7 linked regions of the Cricetulus griseus genome follow. The protein of the gene in region 7 purifies or fractionates together with the protein of the main gene of each other region. This does not show direct contact. Links are inferred from orthologs where the notes say so. Each region holds a gene or a part of one and is shown on either strand. Other genes may lie near its edges.

Region 1 (4,025 bases), on a different chromosome or scaffold from region 7:
TCACTTCGAGTGTGGCCTTGTTGAAGATTTCTTTGCTGACCTTCACCTCGGCTGGCCCGTACACTCCAGCCAGGACAGAGGTGTCACCTGGGGAGACATCAGCAGAGGCCTCTGCCACACCAACTCTCTTCTCTGCCTTCTCATCTGTAACTGGAGACTACTGCAGTCCTTCCCTCGAGGCACTTTTGTCAAGATCACATGACAGTGGCTCACAGAAGCAGTAAGCCCAGTCTCTCAGTGTCACACAACAAGATCAAATAAATACCCATTTTAAAAAGATACAGATACTTGAAACACAGGATGCTGGCCAGTGAGTCCAGAGCCCAGCCCAGACTTCAGCTACTGGTGAGTTTTTAGAAGCAGTTGGGGCTGGAGAGATAGCTCAGCAGGTCGGCACCCACACTGCTCTTCCAGAAGCCTAGAATGCAGTTCCCGGCACCCGCAGGCTGCTCATAATCACCTTGTAACTCAGCTCCAAGGTATGGACACCCTCTTCTGCCCTTCTTGGGCACCCGTACACACAGGCACACACACGTATATCCTCCCAGTGTCTGGGAGGCAGAGACGGGAGGGTCAGGAATTCAAGGTCATCCTTGGCTCCATACTGAGTTCGAGGCCACCCTGAACTACACAAGACTATCTCATAAACCAACCAAAAAGAAATCCATTGTTACATATAATTAATATATACTATTAAAAATATTTTAAAAGGCCTTACAAAAAACAAACAAAAAAGGGTCTGTAGTTGCGTTGGGTAGGGATCTTAATCTCTGCTCATTTTCCCAGAATGGCATAAATGGGTCTGGAGGAAAAAAAGCCTGGCTTCTAGCCCTGATTGCCTATTCCAGGCCCTTGTGTGATTTTGATAACCTCTGTGGGCTACAGAGAAGCCATCTACAAAGTGAAGACACTGCACTCAAACAGTGGTTTCCACATGATTTTGACCGTAATGCCCAATGACCAATACACTCTATACCACAACTCCAAACTGGTAAATGCATGTGTATAAGTGAATCACAGGTGGGCTGGAGAGATGGCTCAGCAATTAAGAGCACTTGTCGCTCTTGTAGAAGACGATTCACAAAGGTTTGTAACCACAGTTCCAGGGGACCCAACATACTCTTCCGACCTCCTCAGGCACCAGGGAGAGCCATAAAACAAACAAACAAACAAAAACAAAACAACAAAACCCAAGGGGTTAGGGATGCTAGCATGTGCAAAGTCCAAAGGGAAAAACAAAACAAAAAAACAAGATGGCTAGCCAACAAAGGCAGGTGACAGGCTCATGGGCTCTGTAGGTTTTCACTGTTGGATTTTCTGGGATCAGGCCCTAGACAGTCTAAGCTGGCCTTGAACCTGCTATGTAGCTGAGTGAACCTGGCCTTGCCTCTACCTCCCTGGGGAACGTACCCCATTTTTATGAATCCTGTTTTTAAGTGAAGATACTACGCTGGCTAGTTTTGTCAACTCAGCACAAGTTAGACAGATCTGAAAGGTGGGAATCTCAACTGAGGAACTGCCTCCATCAGACTGGCCTGTAGGGTAGTCTGCTGGGGCATCTTTTTTTTTTTTTTTTGGTTTTTCGAGACAGGGTTTCTCTGTGTAGCTTTGGAGGCTGTCCTGGAACTCGCTCTGGAGACCAGGCTGGCCTAGAACTCACAGAGATCCGCCTGCCTCTGCCTCTGCCTCCCAAGTGCTGGTATTTAAAGGTGTGCGGCACCAACGCCCGGCCCAATCTGTCTACTTTTGATAGCTCCTCACACTCCCACGACCTCTCAAAGCTGGCTGACCGGCATTGGGTGGAGGCAGGGTTGTGTGGGTGTCAGTCGTGAGACGCCTCTTTTCTCTCTACAATCACTTACACTGATGAGATGAATACACCAAGCAACAGACACATTTACTCAAATGATGGGATGGGAGAAGGGGAGATACCTGTGGGTCCAGAATGGGGATCATCACGTTCAATGTGAAGGGCATTCGCGTGGACCAAGTCATCTGCTGCTGTCACCGCACTTGACCCAGCGGCGATGACAAGTCCTTCTCAAAGGGAATGCATGCAAACGAACACCTTAGCCTCAACCGGAGGTGTACCGATCCAGGAGAAGTGTGTGGAAGGAAATCTAGTCAAGGGGCCTATTCGCCTTGGTGAAATTACACCTGTTCTGGAATATCCACTCTTCCTAGGGCGTGCTCTTGCCCCTGATTCCTTCCAGGCTGGACGTATCAAATATTTTTTTGGTTGTTTTTTCGAGTCGGGGAAGAGGTGTGGACCCCTCCTACGTATCTAGAAATAGTTTTTTCGTTTCTTTTCAAAGAGATGGGCGCACTCGGTTGCACACTACACGGTAACCGCTCTTCCAAAAAAAAAAAAAAAAAAAGAAAAGAAAACAAACCCCACCAGGCGTTGGTGGCGCTCGCCTTTAATCCCAGCACTCGGGAGGCAGAGGCAGGCGGATCTCTGTGAGTTCGAGGCCAGCCTGGTCTCCAGAGCGAGTGCCAGGATAGGCTCCAAAGCTACACAGAGAAACCCTGTCCCCCCCAAAATCCCAAAAACCAAGAAACCCAAGCCCCCCACAGTGGGGCTGGGGATCAGGCTCTTTTTACCTTGCAGGAAAGAAGCAGATCCATCCGGCCGGGACAGCAGGTTCTGTTCGCAGGCGAAATGCCGGAGGCTGCAGCCGGGACTCCGCGGGCCGGGCTCCGCGGCGGTGCCAGCGCCCAGCTCGGCGTCCGCACGCTTCGCGATCTCCATCGCCGCCGAGCACGCGCGCCCCGCCTGCGGCCGTAGCTTCCGCCCCCGTGGTGCGCACGCGCGCGCTGGCTCGCTCGCTCGCTCGCGGGCTCGCCGGCTCGCGGGCCCGGCTCGCAGCGGCTGCGTGGCCGCTGCGCATGCGCCAGCCTGGGCGGCGCCTGACTCGTCCCTGGCACGTGGCTGAGCGTTTACTAACAATCTGGTCCCGCCCCGCCTCCGCCTCCCGATTCTCGCAAAGCCATTGGGCCAGAAAGGAGAGGGGGCGGGTCTTGGAATAGGCCCACCTCGCCCAAGGCCCCCCGGCCCTCAACCCGTGAGCCTGTGGTCAGGGTGTCCCTTTCCTGCCTGATATCGGAGCCGCTATAAGCGGAAGGCTAGAGCCACGGCGGAGGATAATCAGAATCGGCACGCGCACTTAGGTTCGTGTCTTGGACTCACGGCGGTGGGAGTGAAGTCGCTTGTTGGCCCGACCGTGCCGGCATTTGAGGACGGCATCTGGTGGGGCAGCCCCGGGTCCAGCTGGGGAGAGAGGAGGCGTGGCTATCGAGCGAGATGGCGGCGGCGATGTGGAGACAGAGCCGGGGCCTGGCTGCTCTCCTGTCGCTGCGGCGGCCTGGGGCGCGGGGCTTGGCTAGATCCGTAAGTACCTGGGCCCCACGGGGTCCCTCCCGAGGTGGCTGCGGACGCAGAGGTTGCTCTTACGGTGTGTGCGGGTCGTGAAGGAAAGAAAAGGACGCGGACGCTCCTTGGAGAGAAGAGTCAGGGGAAGAGGGAGAAAACCGGGGGTGGGGTGGGCCAGGATCAGCCCCACGTTTCTTTATTCCGTTACTTAAAACTCCACTTGTGAAGCTGGGTGAGCAAGAAGCTGATTGGACCCCTGCGGTCCCCGATCAGAAGCGAAGGCGGGGGCCCGGGCGCGATCACTGTCACAGGCCATCGGGGTATGTTGGTTGATGTCATGAAGGGAGAAATCCACACAGGACCCTTTGTCAACGTTGTTTTTTAAAAATTATTCCTTTTTTTGTAGATTTTATTTATTATATATACAGCATTCTGCCTCCACATATGCCTGTTGCCAGAAGAGGGCACCAGATCTCATTACGGATGGCTGTGAGCCACCATGTGGTTGCTGGGAACTGAACTCGGGCCTCTGGAAGAGCAGTCGGTGCTCTTCACCTCTGAGCCATCTCTCTCCAGCCCATATTTTTTTTAAAAGATTTTATTTATTTATTATGTATACAATATTCTGCTTCCATGTATCTCTGCACACCAG
Region 2 (4,088 bases), about 90 Mb from region 7:
GCATCCTAGTCTATTTTGATGCAGACCTCTTTTTTCCCTTCTTAAAAACTACACCTTCAGGCTGGAGAGATGGCTCAGAGGTTAAGAGTACTGACTGTTCTTCCAGAGGTCCTGAGTTCAATTCCCAGCAACCACATGGTGGCTCACAACCATCCGTTATGAGATCTGGTGCCCTCTTCTGGTGTGCAGATATACATGGAAGCAGAATGTTGTATACATAATAGATAAAATCTTTTTTTTTTTTTTTTTTTAAAAACTACACCTTCAAAGTTACTTGCTGTTTTTCTGCCCGAGTCAGAAAGCAGCCACTTTAATTTTTCTTCCCTGATTAATAAAGGATCTCTCTGTGAAATAGGTGTTTGAGGAGTGTGTGCTTCTAATCCGGTCCAGGAGAGAGCCCCCTGCCCCCCCATTCGGGCTTTCCTTCAATTGGTGTGCTCCAAAAGAAATAGGGGCAAGAATTGTTCTGAGTTACTGATTTTCCTAAGCCATGTAGAGATAACTCAAGTAGGTGAAAAGGTGTGATATGTGTTGCGCGCGGGGGTGGAGTGGGGGTGGCGGGGGGGGAGCCCTAGAGTGTAATACACATAAGTGTTACATCTATTATGTACAAATGATAGGAACTACAGCTGAAAACACAGCAAAGGAGACAAATGAGTAAGACTTCCGTTGTTCTTTCTTTTTAATAATTGATTTTTATTTCATATGCATTGGTATTTTGTCTGCATGTGTATCGGTGTGAGGGTGTTAGATCCCCTGGAACTGGGGTTACAGGCAGCTGTGAGCTGCCTTGTGGGTGCTGGGTCCTGTGGAAGAACAGCCAGTGCTCCTAAACCATGAAGTCATCTCTCCAGCCCCTATTGTTGTTCTCCCATTCTTTATATTTTACAGAATTTAAATTGGTAGCAACGTCCAAACAAGTCATACTTTGCAAACCCTTTTTTCCCAGTTAAAATTTCAGCCACCTTTCTGTAGGCTGAATGGAAAGTAAAGCCTCCAAACCCAATACCCAGGGGCCCTTAGTTCCAGCACCCGTAGAGACTAAGCCGAAAGACCTGACACGGGATGTGAGGGCTCCAAATGAACTCCAGCTGGGCGTCTCTTTCACCCACCCGCGGAGAAACCACAGGGTGGGTGGGCTGATAGCTCAGATACGGGTGTTTGGGGGTGGGGAGGAGGGGGTACCGAAGAGAGGATGTGACTGGTTGGCGGTCTGAAGTCTATTTCAGAAAGCCCACAAAAACCGGAAAGGGATAACCCTGGAGGGCGGGCTCTTGGATGCGGAAGCGGAAGTAAAATGCCGGAAGCTGCGACGACTCCTGCTATGGCTGAAGTACTGTCGGTTGGGAAAGAATCGGTGGCCGGCTGCCGGGCGCGGGTAGCGCACAACGTGCTGAATCAGGTGGTTCTCCCTGGGGAGGAGCTGGTGCTGCCGGAGCACGAGGACGTAGACGGCCTTGGCGGCGCCGGGGAGCAGCCTTTACGTCTGAATTCGGGGGCGCGCCCGCGGCTGCGCGTCGTGTGTGGCCCGGGTTTACGACGCTGCGGGGACCGCCTGCTGGTCACCAAGTGTGGCCGCCTGCGCCACAAGGAGCCCGGAGGAGGCGGCGGTGGCGTTTACTGGGTGGATTCTCAACAGAAGCGGGTGAGCGGACGTTGGAGAGGCCGTGCTGCTGCGATAGTGGAATCCCAGTTCTGGGAAGACTCCCTGCAGCGGGGAGGAGAGGATGAGCTCAGCCTAGAGCCGCGGTGGCTTCTAGGTCCCCTCTGCATCTTCTTTAGAGGAACCACAGTAGAAACACAGCTTGAGAAGGGAGAAAGGAGAAAGGGGCTAGAAAGTAGGAAGCCGCAGGCGTGCCATGTGGAGTCCCAGTTTCAGTGAGTCTAAATAACAGGGAGTTAAATTATTCGTAGAGTAAGAGCTTTCATGTAGAAGTGTCTAATGGGTGGGTTTCCTTGACTGTAAGGATTCTTGTGCCGCCGGATGTATAAAAGATGCTGAAGTATGAAACCTGACTCAGGTCAACTACGGATTAGAGACAACAAAGTTGGATTGGTGCGGCCCGGTTTTGTAGTCCCAGCTACCTGAGGAATATGAGTTGGGAGGATTGTTTGAGACCCATCCTGAGCAACCTTGCTAAAACTTACTGCATATATGTTACAGTAGTCTTTTATGGTTGTTCTTTCATTATGTTTTGCAGTACGTACCCGTGAAAGGAGACCACGTGATTGGCATAGTGATTGCTAAATCTGGAGATATATTCAAAGTTGATGTTGGAGGGAGTGAGCCAGCTTCTTTGTCTTACCTGGCATTTGAAGGAGCAACTAAAAGAAACAGACCGAATGTGCAGGTAATGATGGGAGCCTTTGGTTTCAACAATAAGGCAAAAATAGCCACTCCCCAGAAATTTAGCTGCCCAGAGGACTTCCTGATTTGTCTCCAAAGCATAAACTATCCTTCAGATTCTCCAAGATAGTTCCTTAGGCGCTGCAGCTCCAGAACCAGTGCTGTGTTCTTGGTTCTTCTCTCCCAGGTTGAAGGGTTATGTTTGCTTCCCCTTGTTACCTGTGAGGTTCATATCCATATCACAAGGAAAGTGTCCCTAGTCTAAGGGACACTGGTACTGTCAGTCATCTATCTCTTCATCTTGGCTCTGAATCCTTGGAGCTGACAGAAGAGTGATCTTGTTACTACAGGATTTCTGGTTGGTTTAGCTGTATCCTTCCTGAGGATACATGTGAGCCAGAAATTTGATGGCATCTGTGCTACTTTTCTTTCAACTCTCACAGGTCTTGAGTCATTTGATCTTATTTGTTCCATCTCTTGTCTTTTGCATGCCTTATCCCTTTGTGTCTATGAGTTCAAGCATTTGCTCATTTTTGACAAAACTGGGCAGCAATCTCATTAACATTCCAGCTTCCATCTGTTAATATCCTCATGTTGACATTCCCTTTTTAAAGGTTTTATATGTGTGGATTTTTTTAAAAAAAGATTTAAGTATATGTGAATGCTCTATTGACTTTATGCCAGAACACAGCATCAGATCCCACTATAGATGGTTTTGAGCCACTATGTGGTTGCTGGGAATTGAACCCAGGTCCTCTAGAAGAGCAACCAGTGCTCTTAACCACTGAGCTATCTCTCCAGCTCCCATATTCCATTTCTTAACAGGAAAAAAAATGTTCAAATCATAGAGAATTCATTGGCATTGTGCCCCAGGGGTCTTCCCTCATATTAGCACTTCATGCTAATATGCTTAAGTTTCACAACACCACTGAACTTGGTTCCTTTGGGTCTTTAGTAATGGTGCTCTTCTGTCTGGATTGCAGTCTCTCAGCCTATGAGACAGACATCCATCCATTGAGATCCAGGCTAAGCACGACTATGTAAAGTCATTCATCATCATCACTTTTCCTGTATCTTTACCATGGTACTGGATTTATTCTTGAACTTGTCATGAGTTTATTCATTCTTGTTGCCCTGTAGAAGATCACATGTTCTTGAAAGGCATAAAGTGTCTTATGATTCATTCCCTCTAAGTTTTGTAGTCACCCAAAATGGTGGGTACTTAAATATTATTAATGTATGCATATCGAGGGTGTTTTGGCTCTATGTATGTATTTGCCCTCTATATGACTGATGCTTGTGGAGGTCAGGCAGGAAGGTCGGGTCCCCTGAAACTTAAGTTATGAATGGTTGTGAGTTGCTAGGAGGGTGCTAGGAACCAAACCTGGGTCCTTTGCAAGAGCATCAAGTACTCTTAACCCGTGAGCCATCTCTCCAGCTCTCAACAGTGGGGATTTTTAATGTTGAAATTCATTCTGTTTCCTCAGCTTCATCATTTTAAAGTTCAGTTTTGTAACATTTTAAATCTAGAGCTGGATGGTACTGGTGCACACCTTTTATCCCAGCACTTGGGAGGCAGCAGCAGGCAGATCTCTGAGTTCGAGACCAGCCTGGTCTACAAGATCTAGTTCCAGGACAGCCTCCAAAGCCACAGAGAAACCCTGTCTCAAAAAACCAAAAAAAAAAAAAAAAAAAAAAGGATTTCTGGATGAAGGGAACTTTTCTGCTTTTCTGTCTTATA
Region 3 (4,023 bases), on a different chromosome or scaffold from region 7:
TATGAAAACTTGGGCATTTGATGGTTCCCTTTGCAACTCAGGGTTCAAACAGTACACTTCATTATTCTAACATGTAATATATATAAATCAAAATTGACCTACCTGGCAAAAAGAGGACAGCACAGACCACTGGTTCTCACAATGATCCCTGGACCAGCACTGGGACCGTCTGGGCACTCTGAGTTAGAGGTATAAGTTCTTAGGTCCTATCTCTATCCTCCTCTATAAGCAGAGCCTAGCAGTAAGTTGTTAATAAGCCCTCCAGGCACTTCTGATCAACTTTTGTCATATACTTGCTTAATGAACAAAAGGCCTAAAGAACACGTGTAAATCTGGTGAACCTCATTCCTTTTCAGGTACTGTTGGTCTCTCAAAAGTAAGTATCTCATGCTAATCCTAAACAGAAACTAATCATTGCCTCTAATAGTCAATCCAAAGAAAGGGTCACAGTTCTATTTCAGAAAACCAAGTTGGGTCATGGTATTATTGACAGACATTTTTGTAAGGGAACTTGAAATTTCTAGAGCAATTTTGAACATCTGAAGGTTTTGTCTTATGAACAAATACTAGGACAGATCTAACTCCCATCTGCCACATGCTTCCACTAATAACTACCTGTCTGCACATCCAGGATACCCATTTGTTCATAAATACAATTCCAGTTTGAATCCTGGAAGCTTACCAGTGTTACTTCCTCTCCTTGGACAGAGACATCCGGTCTTCGGAAGTGACACAAGGCTACGATTGCAGCAATACTGGCGGCGTCAATAATATTTCCATCATGATTTAATAAATGTAGGTCTACACGGATCTGCCAAACCTGAAAGTGAATTTAAGATAAAAATAAATCCTACCTGAACATGACCAGTGGCCACTGGAAAAGTAACACTGGACATTTTTTTAAATTAAAGCATGCAGTTTATCCAGTAAAAATGTAGTTAATTTTAAGAAAAACAAACATTTGAAATACTAATAGTTAACTTTTCTATGTGAGTCATCTGAGAACATGACAATATGTAAATAAATGGAATCATCCCAACATTTAAAACCTGTGTTTTTTAAAAAATGTTCATTTTTATTTTACATGTGTGTACATTTGCTTGTATACATGTGCCACACTCATGTCTGGTGCCCCCAAAGACCCCAAGTGTTAGATTCTCTGAAACTAGTCACAGATGGTTGTGATCTGACATGTAAGTACTAGACCTGAAGCCATATCCTCTGAAAGAGCAACCAGTGCTCTTAACCACTGAACCATCTCTCCAGTTTCCCTAATGTTTTGTCGGAATCAATAGTATCCATTGTTAAAAGTTTGGGACATATTTCCCACCTTTTCACCAGCAACAACACAGAGAGATTCAGTATCTATACACTTTGAATTTCTTAGACACCTTTCCAAGAGTCGATTCAGCTTCACCAGGAGATCGGACTGCCTTTGGAAACAAGAAGGAACTAATGTCATGAACCACAACTCTGAGCATTAACAACAGTTTACTGTGGCTAAAGGAGCTTAAGAAATCGAGATACCTGCCGGGTTCAAAAGCTGGAGCAGCCATCTGAGAAAGTTCAAGGTTAAAAAACAGAATACCTTCTGTTGCTCTATTGAGTTTTGGAGAAACAAGTTCACAGGAAACCTGTCCAAGAACTCTGCAAAAATAAAGGTACAAAGCAGTCAACTAAACATACTTCCCTTTCAATTAAAAAAAATGAAGAAATGTAAAACAGACAAAAAAAATAAATTCTACGTAACAACACAAAGTGACTTAAAGACAGGAATTACATACAGAATGTAGTAGACTGGGGCCAGCAAAGCTGCGTCCACACACAAATATGCACACACACAATAAAATGTTTGGGTCATGCAGAAAAAAAACTGATATACCTAAAAGGATAGCAGAAAGGAAATCTCTTACTTCTTACATCACACAAGAATAAAAGGGAAACTGAGACTCATTGATGATAAAATCTACACTCCTCACATTAGAATATCAGACACATGCAGGTAACAAATTCTGTGTGATCGATGTCAGCTGCCTACATGATTTATAAAGATTTATAAAGATCACAACTATGACACTCATACAGCAGAAAGCACTCGTGGTTAAAAGTGTGACCAGAAAACTAAAAAGGCTTACATTAAAGAAGAGAGATAAAAATCACTGCTTGGATTTTTGAGCTGCCCGCTAAACAACCGAGTCAGTACATAATTTTCACATCTCCTGTGGCATTTTCTAATTGTTTCGTGTTACCTTGTTTTCCCAAGTTCTACAATACAGCATCCATAATCTGTTCCGAATGAGATCCTGATGTTCCTGTAATCATAGGTCTGTCTGCCATCCAGCCGCTGTAAGCAAACATCATTTATTCCTTTAACATTTTAAGAGTAGCAACTGTGTCTGTCTGGTCGTGGGCCCCAACACCCCTGGTATTAACAAATTGTTGGTGGTTTGCAGCTCAAAGGAACTTGCCAGGATAAAATAATTGACCTGAACCTGGGGAAATGGGCAGAGTTCACACTGGGAACGACCCGAGCCCACACCACGACCACACCACAGGCCAAACTGACAATGAATCCACGGGCCACAGGAGTCCACCACGCTGGAACGCGAATCTACACCCAAAGCCACGGAGGCCTCGCACCTTCTTTTCCTCAATGGCGCGAAGCAAAAAGCGGCGTTCGCAGTTGGAGAGCGGCGTTTCCTTCATAGTGTTGGGCCACGCAGCGGAAGAAAGGTACCGAGAAAACTCTGCACGCCAGCTTCTTCCCGGCGAGGAAAATCGACGTCATCCGGGCACCGGCGCGGAGCGCGGTGTGGGCGGGGCTAGAGGTCGGGGACCGCTGCAGCGGGGAGGGGCTGTGCTGATTATTTTACCGAAGGGATGTCTGAAAGGAAGGAGATTAGCGTCTGCAGCATAGTCCTGTTCCTTTAAAAAAAAAAAAAAAAGAGAGAGAGAGAGAGAGAGAGAGAGAGAGAGAGAGAGAGAGAGAGAGAGAGAGAGAGAGAGAGAGAGAGAGAGAGAGAGAGAGAGAGACAGAATCTCACTGCGTATCCCTGGCTGTCCTGGAACTCAGCAGAGATCACCTATCCCTACAAGTTGTAACAACTCTTACTTATGGGGTGGGGGTAGGAAGCAGGGATTTCCCCAGCTCTTGACTCTGGCCTTCTACCAGCTTCCAGGCTGGCCTCGATTTTGGGATTTCTCGGCACTTCACAGCAGAGACAGTCTGCAGAGGATGCTAACTTATGTCAGAGAAAGCCGGAAGGATGGCGCGGGCCGGTTGCTGGAGAATGCTAGGAAGGGCGGATGGTGAGGACTAAGGAGGCTGGGAGGATGTAGCAGGCTGAAGGTGGTTCACTTGAGGCCTGGGGATAGGAAAAGAAGTGAAGTGTAACTTTCACTCCCAGTGCACTGAAACCTCGTTTACTGCCTGTTTGTCGTTCTAAGTCTCCAGGCTTATTTTTGCCAACGCAAACGTGTTCTCCATCTGCTGGCCAGTGCCCTGGTCTACCCATATCAAGAGATGGTATTTGGCAGCTTGGGCAACAGTGAGCGGCAGTGCCCAAGTCCCCTGTTATTACTTTTTTTTTTTTAAATGATAGTCCCTAAATATCATTGGTTGGCCTTGAACTAACAGATCCTCCTATCCCTACAAATCATAACAAGTCTTGCATGGACCTGGGAAGTAGTGATTTCCCCAGCTCTTAGCTGGCTACTGGCTTCCAGGCTGACCTTGATACTGGGATTCTACATCATTTTAGAGCAAACAGCACTTGGTCCAGGTCGGAGACCTTGGCCCCAAAGACTTAACTCTGACGCGTTCCAGTTATCAGGCCTGCCGTTTCTGGTCTTGTTCTCTCTGGCCTTCCTTTACCGTGCTGCCTTGCTTCCAGTCCAGGCTGCTTTTGAACTGTCCAGCTGCCTTGCCGTTCATTGTCTCAGCTTGGCCGCCAGACCGCACAGCTGCGTCAGCTATCCCAGCTGCTTTTCATGTTGTCCCCTCAGTTCACAGAACAGAAAGAC
Region 4 (3,511 bases), about 370 Mb from region 7:
ATTATAAGCCCCTGGGACACATGGGGCAGTTAAAGAGGAAGTGGTGGGAATGCAACCTGCTATATATACCCCATAGGTATGAAGGAGACAACAAAAACACAATCCAAGCCGGACGTTGTGGCCCCACCCATAATCACAACACTAGAAAGGCTCTGGTAGGAAGACTGCCAGTTCAAGGCCAACCTGAAATACATTAAACACTCAAAAAAGCAACCACAACAACCTGAGATACACATCCAGATTCCAAAAAGCAACAACAAAGAGACCTCAGGACGATTGGATTTCATATTTTCTGAGTTGAAGCACTCCAAAAAAGGTGAACACTAAAGGATCCTATCTTAAAAAAGAATTAGAACTCCAAAAGCTGCTATACAACCATGCAGCTGCTAGCTGGGCGTTGGTGGCGTAAGCCTTTAATCCCAGCACTCGGGAGGCAGAGGCAGGCGGATCGCTGTGAGTTCAAGGCCAGCCTGGTCTACAGAGCTAGTTCCAGGACAGGTTCCAAAGCTAAACAGAGAAACCCTGTCTCAAAAAAACAAGAAACGAACAGAAATTTCATACAATAAAAATGAAAATATACAACTAAAAAATAAGAAAGACCAGGGCTGGAGAAATGGTTTAAAGGTTAAGATCACTGGTTACTCCTCCTCCTGAGTTCAATTCCCAGCAACCACATGGTGGCACACAACCGTCTATAGAGGGGTCTGATGCCCTCTTCTGGCATAAAGTGCATGCAGACAGAGCACTTGTACATAGAATAAATAAATCTTAAAAAAAAAAAAAGTCGGGCGGTGGTGTCTCACGCCTATAATTCCAGCACTTGGGAGGCAGAGACGGAAGGATCTCTGTGAGTTCGAAACCAGCCTGGTCTACCAGAGCTAGTTCCAGGACAGGCTCCAAAGCTACACAGAGAAACCCTGTCTCGAAAAAAAAAAAAAAAAAAGACCAAAAAAATGTCTCCGCTGGGAAGAGAGTCTCCAACAAACCGAAGACGTCCAGAAGGAGAAGGCCGTCTTCAGTGCCTTCCTCCTTTACCGACCCGGGAGAAGCCGCAAAACGCTCTGCTCGGGCCTTCTGTACTCGGCCAGACCCGTACATTTAGAAAGCCGAGAATGCTGGGAGCTGTAGTTCCATCGGACCGGAAAGGGACTAGTTCTCCGGAAGCTGTAGTTTACCGAGACCGAAAAAGGTACGGACCGCCGGAAGCTATGGGTCGTGGAAGCTGGAGTCCTAAAGCGCTGTGCTCTGGGAGGCGGAGCTGGGGTCGTACAACATGGCCGGACTGGAGCTCCTGTCCGACCAGGGTTACCGGATAGACGGTCGGCGCGCGGGCGAGCTGCGCAAGATCCAAGCGCGTATGGGCGTGTTTGCGCAGGCCGACGGCTCGGCTTATATCGAGCAGGGCAACACCAAGGCGTTGGCGGTGGTCTACGGGCCTCACGAGGCGAGTAAGAGACCGGGCGCGGGTTCCTCCCGCCAGTGGGCCCTCATAGTCTCTGAGGTGCCTCAGCCGGCCTGGCGAAGCTCCACTCACTCCCCCTTTTCTCAGCTCATTATTCTGACTTCTTGGCGGGAAGAAGCTCCCCAGGCCACTGCAACACTATTTGCCTGTCTGCGCTTACTAACTACATCGGTTTTACTGAGTCTTCCGCGTCGCTTCTTTCTCTACTGGAACATAAATTCCCAATACAGGGACTCTCGATGTAATTGTCTACCTTTATTGCTGTGTCTCAGTGCTGTGTCAAGGCCAGCAAAACACGCACATTTTACAGTTTGGTTGGTATATGAGAGTTCAGCTTTCTAGGCGGAAGGCAGGGTGATAGTCGGGTATAGAACACATCAGGGCCGACTATTGGTAGGTAGAGAGGCAGTAGATCAAGTAAAGTTGAGTAGTTACCAAGGGGGTGGACCCAAGACTTTGAAAGTCGGGAAACTGAGACTTTGTTTTACATGTAATGGGGAGCCCCTGGTAGATAGGTAAATTATTAGTGTATAGGTGACACGGACCAGATGTTTGTAAATGTGGTGGCCACAATGGGAATAATTTGGGAGGAAATGGAGCTACTGTAGAACAAAGAGTTGCCTGCCAAAGGTAACTTATGGTTTAGTCTGAAAAGCCTCCCTCCAGCTAGGATTTGATTTGGAAGCCAGGTAGCCGCTGTTTTCTGAAGCACTAGAGGAAGAGGAGGAGAAAGGTTGAGTCCTGTGGGTTGAGTGTGACCCAGGAGGTAGGCCTGACACCTGTGTTCATTTCTCCTCCAGATCCGGGGTTCCAGGTCTCGAGCCTTGCCTGACCGGGCTCTAGTGAACTGTCAGTATAGTTCAGCAACCTTCAGCACTGGTGAGCGCAAGCGAAGGCCTCATGGGGACCGTAAGTCTTGTGAGATGGGGCTGCAACTACGCCAGACCTTTGAGGCAGCCATCCTCACACAGCTGCACCCACGCTCTCAGATTGACATCTATGTGCAGGTGAGCTAGCTGCAGCTTCAAACCCCTCCACCACCAGGAGTGGGTGGGCTCGGGGGTGGGGGTGGGGTGGCTGTATGAGGTGGGCCTGACATGCTGAAGGTTGAGATGTGAGTCTCATGTCCTGATGCCCCTTCAGGTACTGCAGGCAGATGGTGGAACCTATGCAGCATGTGTAAATGCAGCCACGCTGGCAGTGATGGATGCTGGGATACCCATGCGGGACTTTGTATGTGCATGCTCAGCTGGCTTTGTGGATGGCACAGCACTGTCGGACCTCAGCCATGTGGAGGAAGCAGCTGGAGGTCCCCAGCTAGCCCTGGCCCTATTGCCAGCCTCAGGCCAGATTGCACTGCTTGAGATGGATTCAAGGCTGCATGAAGACCACTTGGAGCAGGTTCTAGAGGCTGCTGCCCAAGCAGCCAGAGATGTGCACACTCTGCTGGATCGTGTAGTCCGGCAGCATGTGCAGGAGGCCTCTATCTTACTGGGGGACTGAGTGCCAACCACCCATATCCAAAATAAAGGCCTGTTCCTCTGCTATACACACCTTATTATACAGAGCAGCTCAGAGCCCTGCAAAGCAGAGTATGTAGCAATGCCCCTACCTGTGCTAGGAAGAGCAAGAGTGCTTAAGCCCACCGTGCGTTGGTGGCGCATACCTTTAACCCCAATATTTGGGAGGCAGAGGCAGGCAGATCTCTGTGAGTTCGAGGCCAGCCTGGTCTCCAGAGCAAGGGCCAGGATAGGCTCCAAAGCTACACAGAGAAACCCTGACTTGAAAAAATCGGAAAAAAAAAAAAAAAAAAAAAAGAGTATTTAAGCCCTCACACTAAGGAATATGCCATGTTCATCCAGCCCATCTGGGACCTTTGCACAAGGCTGAGGTAGAACTCAACTGGCTATGCTTGCCTATCATAGAGGTGTAAGGCTAGACTAATGTAGCAGTTCTCAACATGAGAGTCTCAACCCTTTGGGGGACAAATATCAGATATCCTGCATTTCAGATATTTACATTAAACTTCATAACAGCAAAACTATGTTT
Region 5 (3,500 bases), on a different chromosome or scaffold from region 7:
CTGAGACAGCAGTGCTGTGTTTGAGGTTAGCCTGGTACACAGTGAGTTCCAAGCCAGCCTGGGCTATCCTTAAAAAGAAAGACAATTGTGTCTAGCTTGCACCATGGGTCACAAGTTACAAAACCCAGAGTACTGTTCTGAGCTAAGGAGAAAGAGCAAAGCTTCAGCCAAGCCCTGGACATATGACCCAGAATTCAGACCCCTCTGGTCAGCTGGCAGCCCTGTAAGTCAGGATACACTGATGAGGTCTCCTTCCTGTAAGAAGCCTCTCATGGCCAGCTCATCCTCTGCAGATCTTCTCCTCTGAAACACACGGAAAAATGACCACATGACACAAGCCTCACTTTCAGGAGGAGCTCTTTCCATCCCTGCTTTTTGCTTGAGGTCTGTGTAGCCCACCATGGTATTTTAACATAAAGAACTATGACAAGAGGTAACCTCAACTGCTGGAGAACAAGGGAGGTGATACTAGCTCTCCAAGAGGGACCCTCCTAGGCTAACATCCAGACCCTCTACAGGTCACTGAGCCTGTTTCCCCACTTACCCTCACTTCCACCAGGCTGTGTGTCTGCTCACGTATCTCCCTTCATCTGAGTCCCAACCTCACTCCAACTCTCAGACCCCCAAGGGCCCTCCTATGAAACAACCCCTCTCTGCTCTCCATGTTTCTTTCTTTTCCTGCCTCCCCATGTGGTTCAGCTATCTCCTATCCTCCACCAATCTATAAGTTCTTTAAGGGACTCAGATGTGCCTTATTTATTCTGACACTCTCCATAGGATCCAGCTCACTGTCTAGAATAACCATGTGCATTCAAGTCACTGAAAACTAAGGATAAGTGGGGCTTAGTGGCACATGACTTTAATCCCAGCACTTGACAGGCAGAGGCAGGCAGATCTCTGTGAGTTAAAGGCCAGCCTGGTCTACAGAGTGAGTTCCAGGACAGCCAGGGTTACACAGAGAAACCCCGTCTGAACACCAACCTCCTGCCCACCCTCAAGAAAAGAAAAGAAAGCAAAGGCCAACATTTCACAGACACCTTCCCTGTGTAACCCACAAGAATGCCAACCCACCAAGAAAGGAAATTAGCACCAAGATTCAGGAGCCCCTCTCCCCAGCTCCATCTTGGGAGCCCACTCCACATGTGTTTCTGGTCTTACCAAACACTAGTTGCTGCCTATGTCAGGTGACCAGAGCCAGGAGAAAAAGCCTATGTTCACCAAGCTAGCAGACCCCATGACAAAACATTAACAGTGTAAACCGAGTTCTATGGTGGAACAAAAGCCCCACAGCTCAACTGGACAGTTCTAGGGCAGACAAGCACTCACCAGCTCCCCTCCGGGCAGGTTCATGGATGAGAGGAGCAAGACAGAATCCAGCCTGGAATTTGTCTCTACTTTCCACCTCTTCTGTTGAACCTGTAAGGAAAGAGTAAGGCAGCATCTCAGGGCACCTTCTTCATACAGCATTTCACAGAATGAAGGTCCCATCCCTGAGCCACCAGCCTCCTTCACTTTGTAAAACAGCAACTTTACCTCCGTGATTCTCCCCACTACAATGTCTCCTACTTCTCCATTGTATCTGCAAGAGAAAGCAGAAGGTTACCCAGTAGCCAGCAGGCTGACCAGACCAAGCACTATTTGAGGCTGAGTAAACAGATGGGACTTCAGAATCCCTGTGTATATACTTCATTCGTTTTCCTTAAAGAAACTGCTGCCGGGCATTGGTGGCTCACACCTTTAATCCCAACACTTGGGAGGCAGAGGCAGGCGGATCTCTGTGAGTTCAAGGGCAGCCTGGTCTCCAGAGCGAGTGCCAGGATAGGCTCCAAAGCTACACAGAGAAACCTTGTCTCGAAAAAACCAAAAGAAAAAAGAAAAAAAGAAATTACTCATTGCAAATCATTCCTTTAGACTGCAGTCCTAACTTTGCTTGATTATGTGACAAAAACACAAAGTACTTGCTTCTGAATAGGGGTGGGACAAGTTTATCACCACGCAATGGAGGGAAGGAGACACTGAAACACACTACCATCCATGGGGGCTCGAGCTGCCCTCTCCTCGATGCCTGCCTGGCTCAGGCACTTTGCTGGTCCCTCACCCTGATTCTGAGGATGAAGTGCTCTTTGCTAAAAGCCCAGGCATTAGAATAGGTCTCTTTCTACTCAAGCTCCCTCACAGTGAGCTCACCGAGTTTTAGTGGTGAGAGGCAGGGGCTCGTCCATACTCCCGGCTCTTGGGAGAGAGCGTCATGAAGCTATCCAGTATCAGTAGCCACACAAATGGCTCGTGAACACTTCTAAAAGTAACTAACCCAAAACAAAGACTGCCGGCATCGGCTTCCCCTTCTCCACAGCAAACCACTCTCCCATTGATGCCAGGTCAGTAAGTGCTTGCACACACACACACACACACACACACACACACACACACACACACACACACACACACACACACACACACACACACACACACACACACACACACACACACACACACACACACACACACACACACACACACACACACACACACACACACACACACACACACACACACACACACACACACACACACACACACACACCACACACACACACACACACACACACACACACACACACACACACACACACACACACACACACACACACACACACACACACACACACACACACACACACACACACACACACACACACACACACACACACACACACACACAACACACACACACACACACACACACACACACACACACACACACACACACACACACACACACACACACACACACACACCACACACACACACACACACACACACACACACACACACACACACACACACACACACACACACACACACACACACACACACACACACACACACACACACACACACACACACACACACACACACACACACACACACACACACACACACACACACACACACACACACACACACACACACACACACACACACACACACACACACACACACACACACACACACACACACACACACACACACACACACACACACACACACACACACACACACACACACACACACACACACACACACACACACACACACACACACACACACACACACACACACACACACACACACACACACACACACACACACACACACACACACACACACACACACACACACACACACACACACACACACACACACACACACACACACACACACACACACACACACACACACACACACACACACACACACACACACACACACACACACACACACACACACACACACACACACACACACACACACACACACACACACACACACACACACACACACACACACACACACACACACACACACACACACACACACACACACACACACACACACACACACACACACACACACACACACACACACACACACACACACACACACACACACACACACACACACACACACACACACACACACACACACACACACACACA
Region 6 (3,500 bases), on a different chromosome or scaffold from region 7:
ACTGACACTAGCAAGCTGGCCAAGGAGCAGGCCTCCTCCTGAAGTGTGGCATCCACCACATGCCGGCAGCCAATCTGCAAGATCAGGGCTGTTTAACATACATGTGAACAGTAGACCAGAGATCCCAGATCCCCCTGACACAAGCCTACAAAGGCTGTACATGCATGGCTCGTTCCAGATCTTATTTTAAATTCTGCTTGTTTGGAAAATGCTGGAAGGAATGTTCAACATTGTTAATATGGTCCATTGTGTGAATAATATAATAAAAAGACAAAATGTCAACAAGCAGTTTGGGGGCAGAGAGTCCACCAGGACAGAGACCACCAGGCTTTCCCACAGGGAACACAGGCAGGAAATGCATATGTGAGGCCCCACGGCTTCTTGTTCACTCCAACAGTGAATCCAGAAAGCCCAGCTAAGGGACATACAAAATAATGCCACCCTCCAGAGCTCTGTTTAGTCCCAACGCCCTGTGAACATTTCTTTACAATCTCAGTTCTCAAAAAACTTCCAGTGGTATTAAGTGACTGAAATGTGTGATTTTGGTTTTGTTTTGTTTTGAAACAAGGTCTTTGTTGTGCAGCTATGCTGACGAGGTACTTGATATATAGGCTAGGCTGGTCTCAAGCTTGCAGTAGTCCTACTGTCCCCACCTACTGAGTTCTGGAATTATAGACATGAGCCACTGCACCTGGCTCAGCTTCATTTTTATATAACGAGTCTCTTGTGGAATTAGTCACAATCCCAGCCAACACAAGCCTGAGGCTATGCCAGATGTCAGAGTCAGAAAACCTCTGGGCTCCGTGCAAACTATACTTGGCATGTGTCACCTAGGACTGGCCCCAAGCCCTCAGTTCCTGTATGTGGACATCAGGGTCCATAGAGGAATACTGTTTGAGAACCTACCGGTGTTCAGCTACCTTGGACTCTGGAGTACAGGGAGTTAATGGAAAATGAGCAGTGCAATAGAGTGCAGAGCCTGCAGAGGGACCATGACAGCCAGACTGCTAATGAAGCAGCCTTCCCTTGGGACTCGTCTGTACCTAATGGAACCGAATGATGAGATGTGGGTTAAAGCTACATTTGTAGGGTTTGCACAACTACAGCCTCTCAGCTTATGAAGTAATCTCAAGAGCCTAGGGTTGGAAGAGATCCGCCTCCCCACGGAAGGCAAGAATGCTAAGAGACAAGCTCACACCTTGCACAGGGTGACGATGCAGGGCACATTCTCTACACTCAAGCGGATACAGTCGTAAGGATCGTCAGACAGCTCGATGTCCTTTGCCCCCTCTTCATCCTCCAGAACACGAACCCGTGGTATCCTGGGAACAGAGGCATGATTGAAATTTCCATCTCCTGGAAGGAGGAACCATAACCTTTTTTGAGATCAGGAACCGAAATTCTTTTTTGTTTGTTTGTTTTTGTTTTTGTTTTTTCGAGACAGGGGTTCTCTGTGTAGCTTTGGAGGCTGTCCTGGAACTAGCTCTGTAGACCAGGCTGGCCTCAAACTCACAGAGATCCACCCACCTCTGCCTCCCGAGTGCTGGGATTAAAGGCGTGCGCCACCAACACCCAGCGAAATTCTTTTTTTATAAGCAGGAATTTCGTTAACTCCACCTTGTTTACATCCTCGCTACCTGTCAAAAGTTGAGGCTAGAGCTTCTGTGTCAGGGACTCAGAGTGCTAAGTGTGACATCCTCAGAGTGCTCATTGTGACATCCTCAGAGTGCTCTAAGTGTGACATCCTCAGAGTGCTCTAAGTGTGACATTCTCAGAGTGCTCTAAGTGTGACATCCTCAGAGTGCTAAGCGTGACATCCTCAGAGTGCTCAGTGTGACATCCTCAGAGTGCTCATTGTGACATCCTCAGAGTGCTCATTGTGACATCCTCAGAGTGCTCAGTGTGACATCCTCAGAGTGCTCATTGTGACATCCTCAGAGTGCTCAGTGTGACATCCTCAGAGTGCTCTAAGTGTGACATCCTCAGAGTGCTCTAAGTGTGACATCCTCAGAGTGCTCAGTGTGACATCCTCAGAGTGCTCATTGTGACATCCTCAGAGTGCTCATTGTAACATCCTCAGAGTGCTCATTGTGACATCCTCAGAGTGCTCAGTGTGACATCCTCAGAGTGCTCATTGTGACATCCTCAGAGTGCTCAGTGTGACATCCTCAGAGTGCTCTAAGTGTGACATCCTCAGAGTGCTCTAAGTGTGACATCCTCAGAGTGCTCATTGTGACATCCTCAGAGTGCTCATTGTGACATCCTCAGAGTGCTCATTGTGACATCCTCAGAGTGCTAAGTGTGACATCCTCAGAGTGCTCATTGTGACATCCTCAGAGTGCTTATTGTGACATCCTTAGTGTGCTCAGTGTGACATCCTCAGAGTGCTAAGTGTGACATCCTCAGAGTGCTCATTGTGACATCCTCAGAGTGCTCTAAGTGTGACATCCTCAGAGTGCTCTAAGTGTGACATCCTCAGAGTGCTCTAAGTGTGACATCCTCAGAGTGCTCATTGTGACATCCTCAGAGTGCTCATTGTGACATCCTCAGAGTGCTCATTGTGACATCCTCAGAGTGCTAAGTGTGACATCCTCAGAGTGCTCATTGTGACATCCTCAGAGTGCTCTAAGTGTGACATCCTCAGAGTGCTCTAAGTGTGACATCCTCAGAGTGCTCTAAGTGTGACATCCTCAGAGTGCTCATTGTGACATCCTCAGAGTGCTCATTGTGACATCCTCAGAGTGCTCATTGTGACATCCTCAGAGTGCTCAGTGTGACATCCTCAGAGTGCTCAGTGTGACATCCTCAGAGTGCTCATTGTGACATCTTCAGAGTGCTTATTGTGACATCCTTAGTGTGCTCAGTGTGACATCCTCAGAGTGCTAAGTGTGACATCCTCAGAGTGCTCAGTGTGACATCCTCAGAGTACTAAGTGTGACATCCTCCTTGAAGTGGGCAGTAAGCAGTGTGAAACAGGACTGATATGCCAAAATAGACGTCTGTATATTTACACACACACACACACACACACACACACACACACACACACACACACGGGGGGGGGGGGAGTAAGAGGAAGGTGGCTGAGAGAGAGAGAGAGAGAGAGAGAGAGAGAGAGAGAGAGAGAGAGAGAGAGAGAGAAAGAGAGAGAACTTTTAATTTCTTAATTCTTTGGGCCCAACATAGGCAGAGGATTGGGGAAGACAGAGTGGCATCAACTCTTCTGGAGGACTTCAATGTACAAAGTTCTTTCTATCTTCTATCCAAGGGCATCATGGGGTCACTGTTCCTTGCTGCCTGAGAGTGAGACTGATAGCTGTTCGTGATCTGGGTAGCTAGGTTTCACAAGCTGACATCCATTTTCTCAGGACTCCCTCACAGCAAAACAGCTTCCCCAACTCCCTGGCACCCATGCGAACCAGCTAGCCAAGAAGACTCATCTCAGAGGCTAAGCCACTTCTGATGACAACCTTCTTTCCCATTTCCACAAAGCCTGGCTG
Region 7 (4,162 bases):
CAGCCAGTGCTCTGAATGTTGGAGCCATCTATCTCTCCAGAGCTGAAAAAATTTTAAGTTTTTGAAAAGCATGGATGGGGGCTGGCTCTTGCAGAGGATTGGAGTTCTACCCTCAACACCTATGTCAGATGGCTCACAACTGTCTGTAACTCCAGCTGCAGTGGACCCCAAGACCTCTGGCCTCCAGGTACACATACCCATAAACATAATTAACAACAACAACAACAACATATTTGACATTTGAGACAGGGTCTTACTAAGCAGAACAGGCTAGCCTGGAACTCACAAAGATCCACCCATCTTTGCTTCCCTAGTGCTGCGATTATAGGCATGGCCACCAGGCCTGGCTAAACTTACTTCCTTTCCATTTTCTACAATGCTGGGGTTTCTCCTTGCATTTTAATATGTGAGCTTATTTCTGTTAGTTGACTTATGTGGACGGACAGAGAAACACTCACCACTCTCTCCAGAATCACATCGTTGGTATCAACGAGTAAATCGAACTTGTCCTCCAATTCGGTCACTTTACTTCGATCTTTGATGTTGCTGCGACACCCGTGGTACTGCATTACCCTACTCATGCTAAAGAAGGAAAGCCAGGGTCAGCCCGAGCGCCTGTACGCTACCAATCTACACTCTGGGGAACAACCAGACATTCTCACAGCAACCTTTAAGAGACACGACTCAAAGCTGGGTCTGGGGGTTTATGCCTTCGATACTGGCTTCTTGGAAGGCTTGAACACTCAGGGCCTGGGCCACACACTGAGTCTGGAGCCAACTTGGGCAATTTAATGTGATCTCTCCCAACAATTAATAGATGACAAAAGTGTAGCTTTGGCCCTCCTACTTGCTCTATAGACCAGGCTGGCCTTGAACTCAGGAGATCCACCGGTCTCTGCCTTTCAAGTGATGGTACCAAAGGAATGCACCTTCACTGCTCCGCTGATTTATTTTTAATAATCATAGATCATACTAGGTGTCACATTTTTAATTTTAGCACCCAGGAAGCAGAGGAAAAGGTGATCTTTAAGAATCCAAGCCTAGCTTGGTATACGCAGCAAGTTCCAGGCCAACCAGGGTTCCATACATAGTGACCTGCTGCTGTTCTCCCTCAGCAACCACAGGCCATGGCAATATCCTTCCTTAAACCATCCTTGTTATTGGCATTCAGCAAGTACTTTCTTTTGTTGGTTGGTGTTGGGGTTCAGACCCAGGGACCCCCTACCACTGAGGTATAGAAGTAAGGAAAAACAATCTCTCTATTCATTTCCCTCAGTTAACATAATAAACAATGTACACTTCTTACCACTGGATGATCTCAGTTAACATAGTAAACAATGTATATAGTAAACAATGTATACTTCTTACCACTGGAGCAACCTGTCTCCTTGTGTTTCACAAAATGCCTGGAAGGCCGGAAAACTCCGGTAAAAGTCATACTCGTCACCAAACTGTGGCAGGCCCCCAGACGCCTTGGTAACTGCCACCACTGACCCGAGTGCAAACTGAAAAATCCAGAGAAAAAGACATACTTTAAGCTTGTATTTCTATTCATTCAGAAAGAAAAAAAAAAGATTTAGAATATATATACACCAGGGAGCTGGAGAGAGGGCTCAGGGTTGAGAGTGCTTAGCACCTGCTGCTCTTACATAAGACCTGGGTTTGGTTCCCAGCACCCACAGGGCTGCTCGCAACCATCTGCATCTCCAGATGCAGGAGATGCAGCGCCCTCTTTTGGCCTCTGTGGGTATCAGCAGATATTCAGCATGCTCGGGCCCTCCCTCCCTCCCTCCCTCCCCTCCCTCCCACACTAAAATAAAAACAAATAGGCATGGGACACATCTGCTGATGCGGTGCTGGGGACCCAGCCCTGTCTGCACCACCAAGTCCCGGCGCAGACTTGGGCGCCTTCTACAATTTACAGTATTTTGTGGTTTTGATGCACATCCATCAAGAAAACATAATTACTTCAGAGGACCCCTTTGTAAGCAGTGATCTAGGGCCTGTTGTGAGGTAACGGGAAACAGTCTGAAGCGGCTGTCATCAATAAAGGACGAGTGCTCTTTACTCCCAGCACTCGGGAGGCAGAGGCAGGCGGATCTCTGTGAGTTCGAGGCCAGCCTGGTCTCCAGAGCGAGTGCCAGGAAAGGCTCCAAAGCCACGCAGGGAAACCCTGTCTCGAAACACCAAACAACAACAACAAAAAGGACGAGTGCTCGCTCACGTTCAGGTGTCGTGACAGACAGCATCGTGAATTTTGTGAACACAGAATTTGCAGGAGGTGCTGGTGAGCGCATGCGCTGTGGCACTCGGGGCCGCGATGGCAAGAGTGACAGACAGGGACGCTCAGCCCAGAGACGGGCGCGGACGGCTGTGCGCGGCGGGAGGGCCCAGCGGGGCGGCTGCAGAGCCGGGGCGGGGGGGGGCGCCACGTGGCCGGCGAGGACGCCCGCTGAGGGCGCGGCTGGCGGGCTCGGCGGGGCTGAAGCTCGCGCGCCCACACCGGAAGCGCCGCGCCCCGGGCTCCCGCTCCTCCGCCGCCGCAGCTGTTCCCGCGGCGCTGTGAAGCCGCCGTGCCGAGCGCCGGACCCGCTTCCGGCCAGAACGGGGGCCCCCGCGGTGCCCAGGGCCCGCGTACTCACTTTCACGAAGCTGTCTGCGTCGGGGAACCCAGGCAGCACCATGTCCTCGTCAGGCTTGGCCGCGCTGGTCGCCGGCGCGGAATGATGCTCCCGGGGGCTGGGAGGCGCCATCTTTCCGTCCTAGGGCGGCTCTTCTCGCGAGACTTCCGGCAGACGGGGCGAGCCCAGCGCGCGTGCGCACAGGTGCCCCCCCTCCTGGCTTGTAGCTGCTGACCGGGCTTGGCTCACAATAGGGAGGTTTAGACTTTTGATTTCACGCTGGTAGCATCCTAACAAACCAGTGGGCTATGGTGTGACCTGGAGGATACAGTTTGTTTGTTTGTCTTCGGTTTTTCGGGACAGGGTTTCTCTGTGTAGCTCTGGAGCCTGTCCTGGAACTCACTCTGTAGACCAGGCTGGCCTTGAACTCAGAGATCCACCTGCCTCTGCCTCTGCCTCGCGAGTGCTGGGATCAAAGGTGTGCGCCACCAATGCCCGGCTACAGTTTTTTTTTTTTTTAAGATTTATTTATTATGTATGCAGTGTTCTGTCTGCATGTATCTCTGCAGGTCAGAGAGGGCACCAGATCTCATTACAGATGGTTGTGAGCCACCATGTGGTTGCTGGGAATTGAACTCAGGACCTCTGGAACAGCAGGCAGTGCTCCTAACCACTGAAGCCATCTCCCCAGGCTACAATTTTAATCACAGTTAAAGTTGGCTCTTCCCTGCCTGCCTCAGCTTCCCGAGTCCAGGTGTGCATAACCACACTTGTACTGGATGTTTAAAGTTTAAGAATAAAACTGGGCTGGGCATTGGTGGCGCATGCCTTTAATCCCAGCACTCAAGAGGCAGAGGCAGGAGGATCTCTGTGAGTTCAAGGCCAGCCTGGTCTACAGAGCAAGTTTTAGGACAGCCTCCAAAACAATCCAGAGAAACCCTGTCTTGAAAAACAAAAAACCACAACTGAGTGTGGAGGAGAGAGGTATCTCAGCAGTGATAAACACTTTTTTTTTTCTCTAGAGGACCACAGCACCCAGTCCTGAGGGGTTCATAACCACCTGCAACTCAAACTCTGAGGGAGCAGATGACCTCATGTGGTGGGCACGGGCACACACGATATACAGACACAGACATAGAATGTACCTCTACATGACACAGGGTTTCTCTGTGTAGCCCTGGCTGTCCTGGAACTCAAGAGATCCACACCTGCCTCTGATTCCCTGTCTTAGTCCCTCTAGAGCTGGGATGTAATGGTGTATGCTCGTGCCTGACCCTTCTCTCTGTGTGTGATGCCGGGAACCAAACCCTGGGCCAGTGCCTGTTAGCTAGTGGCCTACCACAGAGTTGTATCCCCAGCCCAGTGACAGGGTTTACAAAATAATTATTAATAAAAAGCCAGTCATATACATACATTTTAAAATTCTGATGTCATTTATTGGCACAGAAAGTACTCAGATATAACATGGTGTCTAGACGTGTTTTCACTTTATACTTTGTTTATTTAGTTGGATATTTACTTTGTTCATAATTCCCGACCTG

The links.
Region 1: the proteins of Exosc10 (region 7) and Exosc5 purify together in Homo sapiens (co-immunoprecipitation; 8 studies listed by BioGRID and IntAct, with this or other methods). This does not show direct contact. The link is inferred for Cricetulus griseus from reciprocal best matches to the Homo sapiens genes EXOSC10 and EXOSC5.
Region 2: the proteins of Exosc10 (region 7) and Exosc3 purify together in Homo sapiens (affinity purification with mass spectrometry; 8 studies listed by BioGRID and IntAct, counting the BioPlex papers as one, with this or other methods). This does not show direct contact. The link is inferred for Cricetulus griseus from reciprocal best matches to the Homo sapiens genes EXOSC10 and EXOSC3.
Region 3: the proteins of Exosc10 (region 7) and Exosc9 purify together in Homo sapiens (co-immunoprecipitation; 7 studies listed by BioGRID and IntAct, with this or other methods). This does not show direct contact. The link is inferred for Cricetulus griseus from reciprocal best matches to the Homo sapiens genes EXOSC10 and EXOSC9.
Region 4: the proteins of Exosc10 (region 7) and Exosc4 purify together in Homo sapiens (affinity purification with mass spectrometry; 9 studies listed by BioGRID and IntAct, with this or other methods). This does not show direct contact. The link is inferred for Cricetulus griseus from reciprocal best matches to the Homo sapiens genes EXOSC10 and EXOSC4.
Region 5: the proteins of Exosc10 (region 7) and Exosc2 fractionate together in Homo sapiens (co-fractionation; 9 studies listed by BioGRID and IntAct, with this or other methods). This does not show direct contact. The link is inferred for Cricetulus griseus from reciprocal best matches to the Homo sapiens genes EXOSC10 and EXOSC2.
Region 6: the proteins of Exosc10 (region 7) and Exosc7 purify together in Homo sapiens (affinity purification with mass spectrometry; 6 studies listed by BioGRID and IntAct, counting the BioPlex papers as one, with this or other methods). This does not show direct contact. The link is inferred for Cricetulus griseus from reciprocal best matches to the Homo sapiens genes EXOSC10 and EXOSC7.

The regions. Positions count from the first base shown.
Region 1 is NC_048602.1:9,460,904-9,464,928, forward strand, and holds the start of Exosc5 (exosome complex component RRP46), read right to left. Parts: upstream 2,801-4,025; 5' UTR 2,753-2,800; coding exon 2,605-2,752; intron 88-2,604; coding exon 1-87. Other genes in the region: Bckdha (2-oxoisovalerate dehydrogenase subunit alpha, mitochondrial), read left to right, coding at 3,305-3,391. UniProt on the Homo sapiens protein: Non-catalytic component of the RNA exosome complex which has 3'->5' exoribonuclease activity and participates in a multitude of cellular RNA processing and degradation events.
Region 2 is NC_048595.1:98,138,529-98,142,616, forward strand, and holds the start of Exosc3 (exosome complex component RRP40), read left to right. Parts: upstream 1-1,288; 5' UTR 1,289-1,297; coding exon 1,298-1,645; intron 1,646-2,201; coding exon 2,202-2,351; intron 2,352-4,088. UniProt on the Homo sapiens protein: Non-catalytic component of the RNA exosome complex which has 3'->5' exoribonuclease activity and participates in a multitude of cellular RNA processing and degradation events.
Region 3 is NW_023276806.1:113,111,004-113,115,026, forward strand, and holds the start of Exosc9 (exosome complex component RRP45), read right to left. Parts: upstream 2,801-4,023; 5' UTR 2,707-2,800; coding exon 2,641-2,706; intron 2,345-2,640; coding exon 2,250-2,344; intron 1,648-2,249; coding exon 1,528-1,647; intron 1,434-1,527; coding exon 1,331-1,433; intron 821-1,330; coding exon 683-820; intron 1-682. UniProt on the Homo sapiens protein: Non-catalytic component of the RNA exosome complex which has 3'->5' exoribonuclease activity and participates in a multitude of cellular RNA processing and degradation events.
Region 4 is NC_048595.1:373,626,509-373,630,019, forward strand, and holds Exosc4 (exosome complex component RRP41), read left to right. Parts: upstream 1-1,191; 5' UTR 1,192-1,273; coding exon 1,274-1,444; intron 1,445-2,262; coding exon 2,263-2,469; intron 2,470-2,605; coding exon 2,606-2,965; 3' UTR 2,966-3,011; downstream 3,012-3,511. UniProt on the Homo sapiens protein: Non-catalytic component of the RNA exosome complex which has 3'->5' exoribonuclease activity and participates in a multitude of cellular RNA processing and degradation events.
Region 5 is NC_048599.1:143,396,339-143,399,838, reverse strand, and holds part of Exosc2 (exosome complex component RRP4), read right to left. Parts: intron 1,580-3,500; coding exon 1,534-1,579; intron 1,417-1,533; coding exon 1,327-1,416; intron 304-1,326; coding exon 238-303; intron 1-237. UniProt on the Homo sapiens protein: Non-catalytic component of the RNA exosome complex which has 3'->5' exoribonuclease activity and participates in a multitude of cellular RNA processing and degradation events.
Region 6 is NC_048597.1:230,059,014-230,062,513, reverse strand, and holds part of Exosc7 (exosome complex component RRP42), read right to left. Parts: intron 1,323-3,500; coding exon 1,199-1,322; intron 75-1,198; coding exon 1-74. UniProt on the Homo sapiens protein: Non-catalytic component of the RNA exosome complex which has 3'->5' exoribonuclease activity and participates in a multitude of cellular RNA processing and degradation events.
Region 7 is NC_048595.1:7,879,591-7,883,752, forward strand, and holds the start of Exosc10 (exosome component 10), read right to left. Parts: upstream 2,801-4,162; 5' UTR 2,754-2,800; coding exon 2,643-2,753; intron 2,359-2,642; exon of another isoform or gene 2,225-2,358; intron 1,506-2,224; coding exon 1,369-1,505; intron 583-1,368; coding exon 459-582; intron 1-458. UniProt on the Homo sapiens protein: Catalytic component of the RNA exosome complex which has 3'->5' exoribonuclease activity and participates in a multitude of cellular RNA processing and degradation events.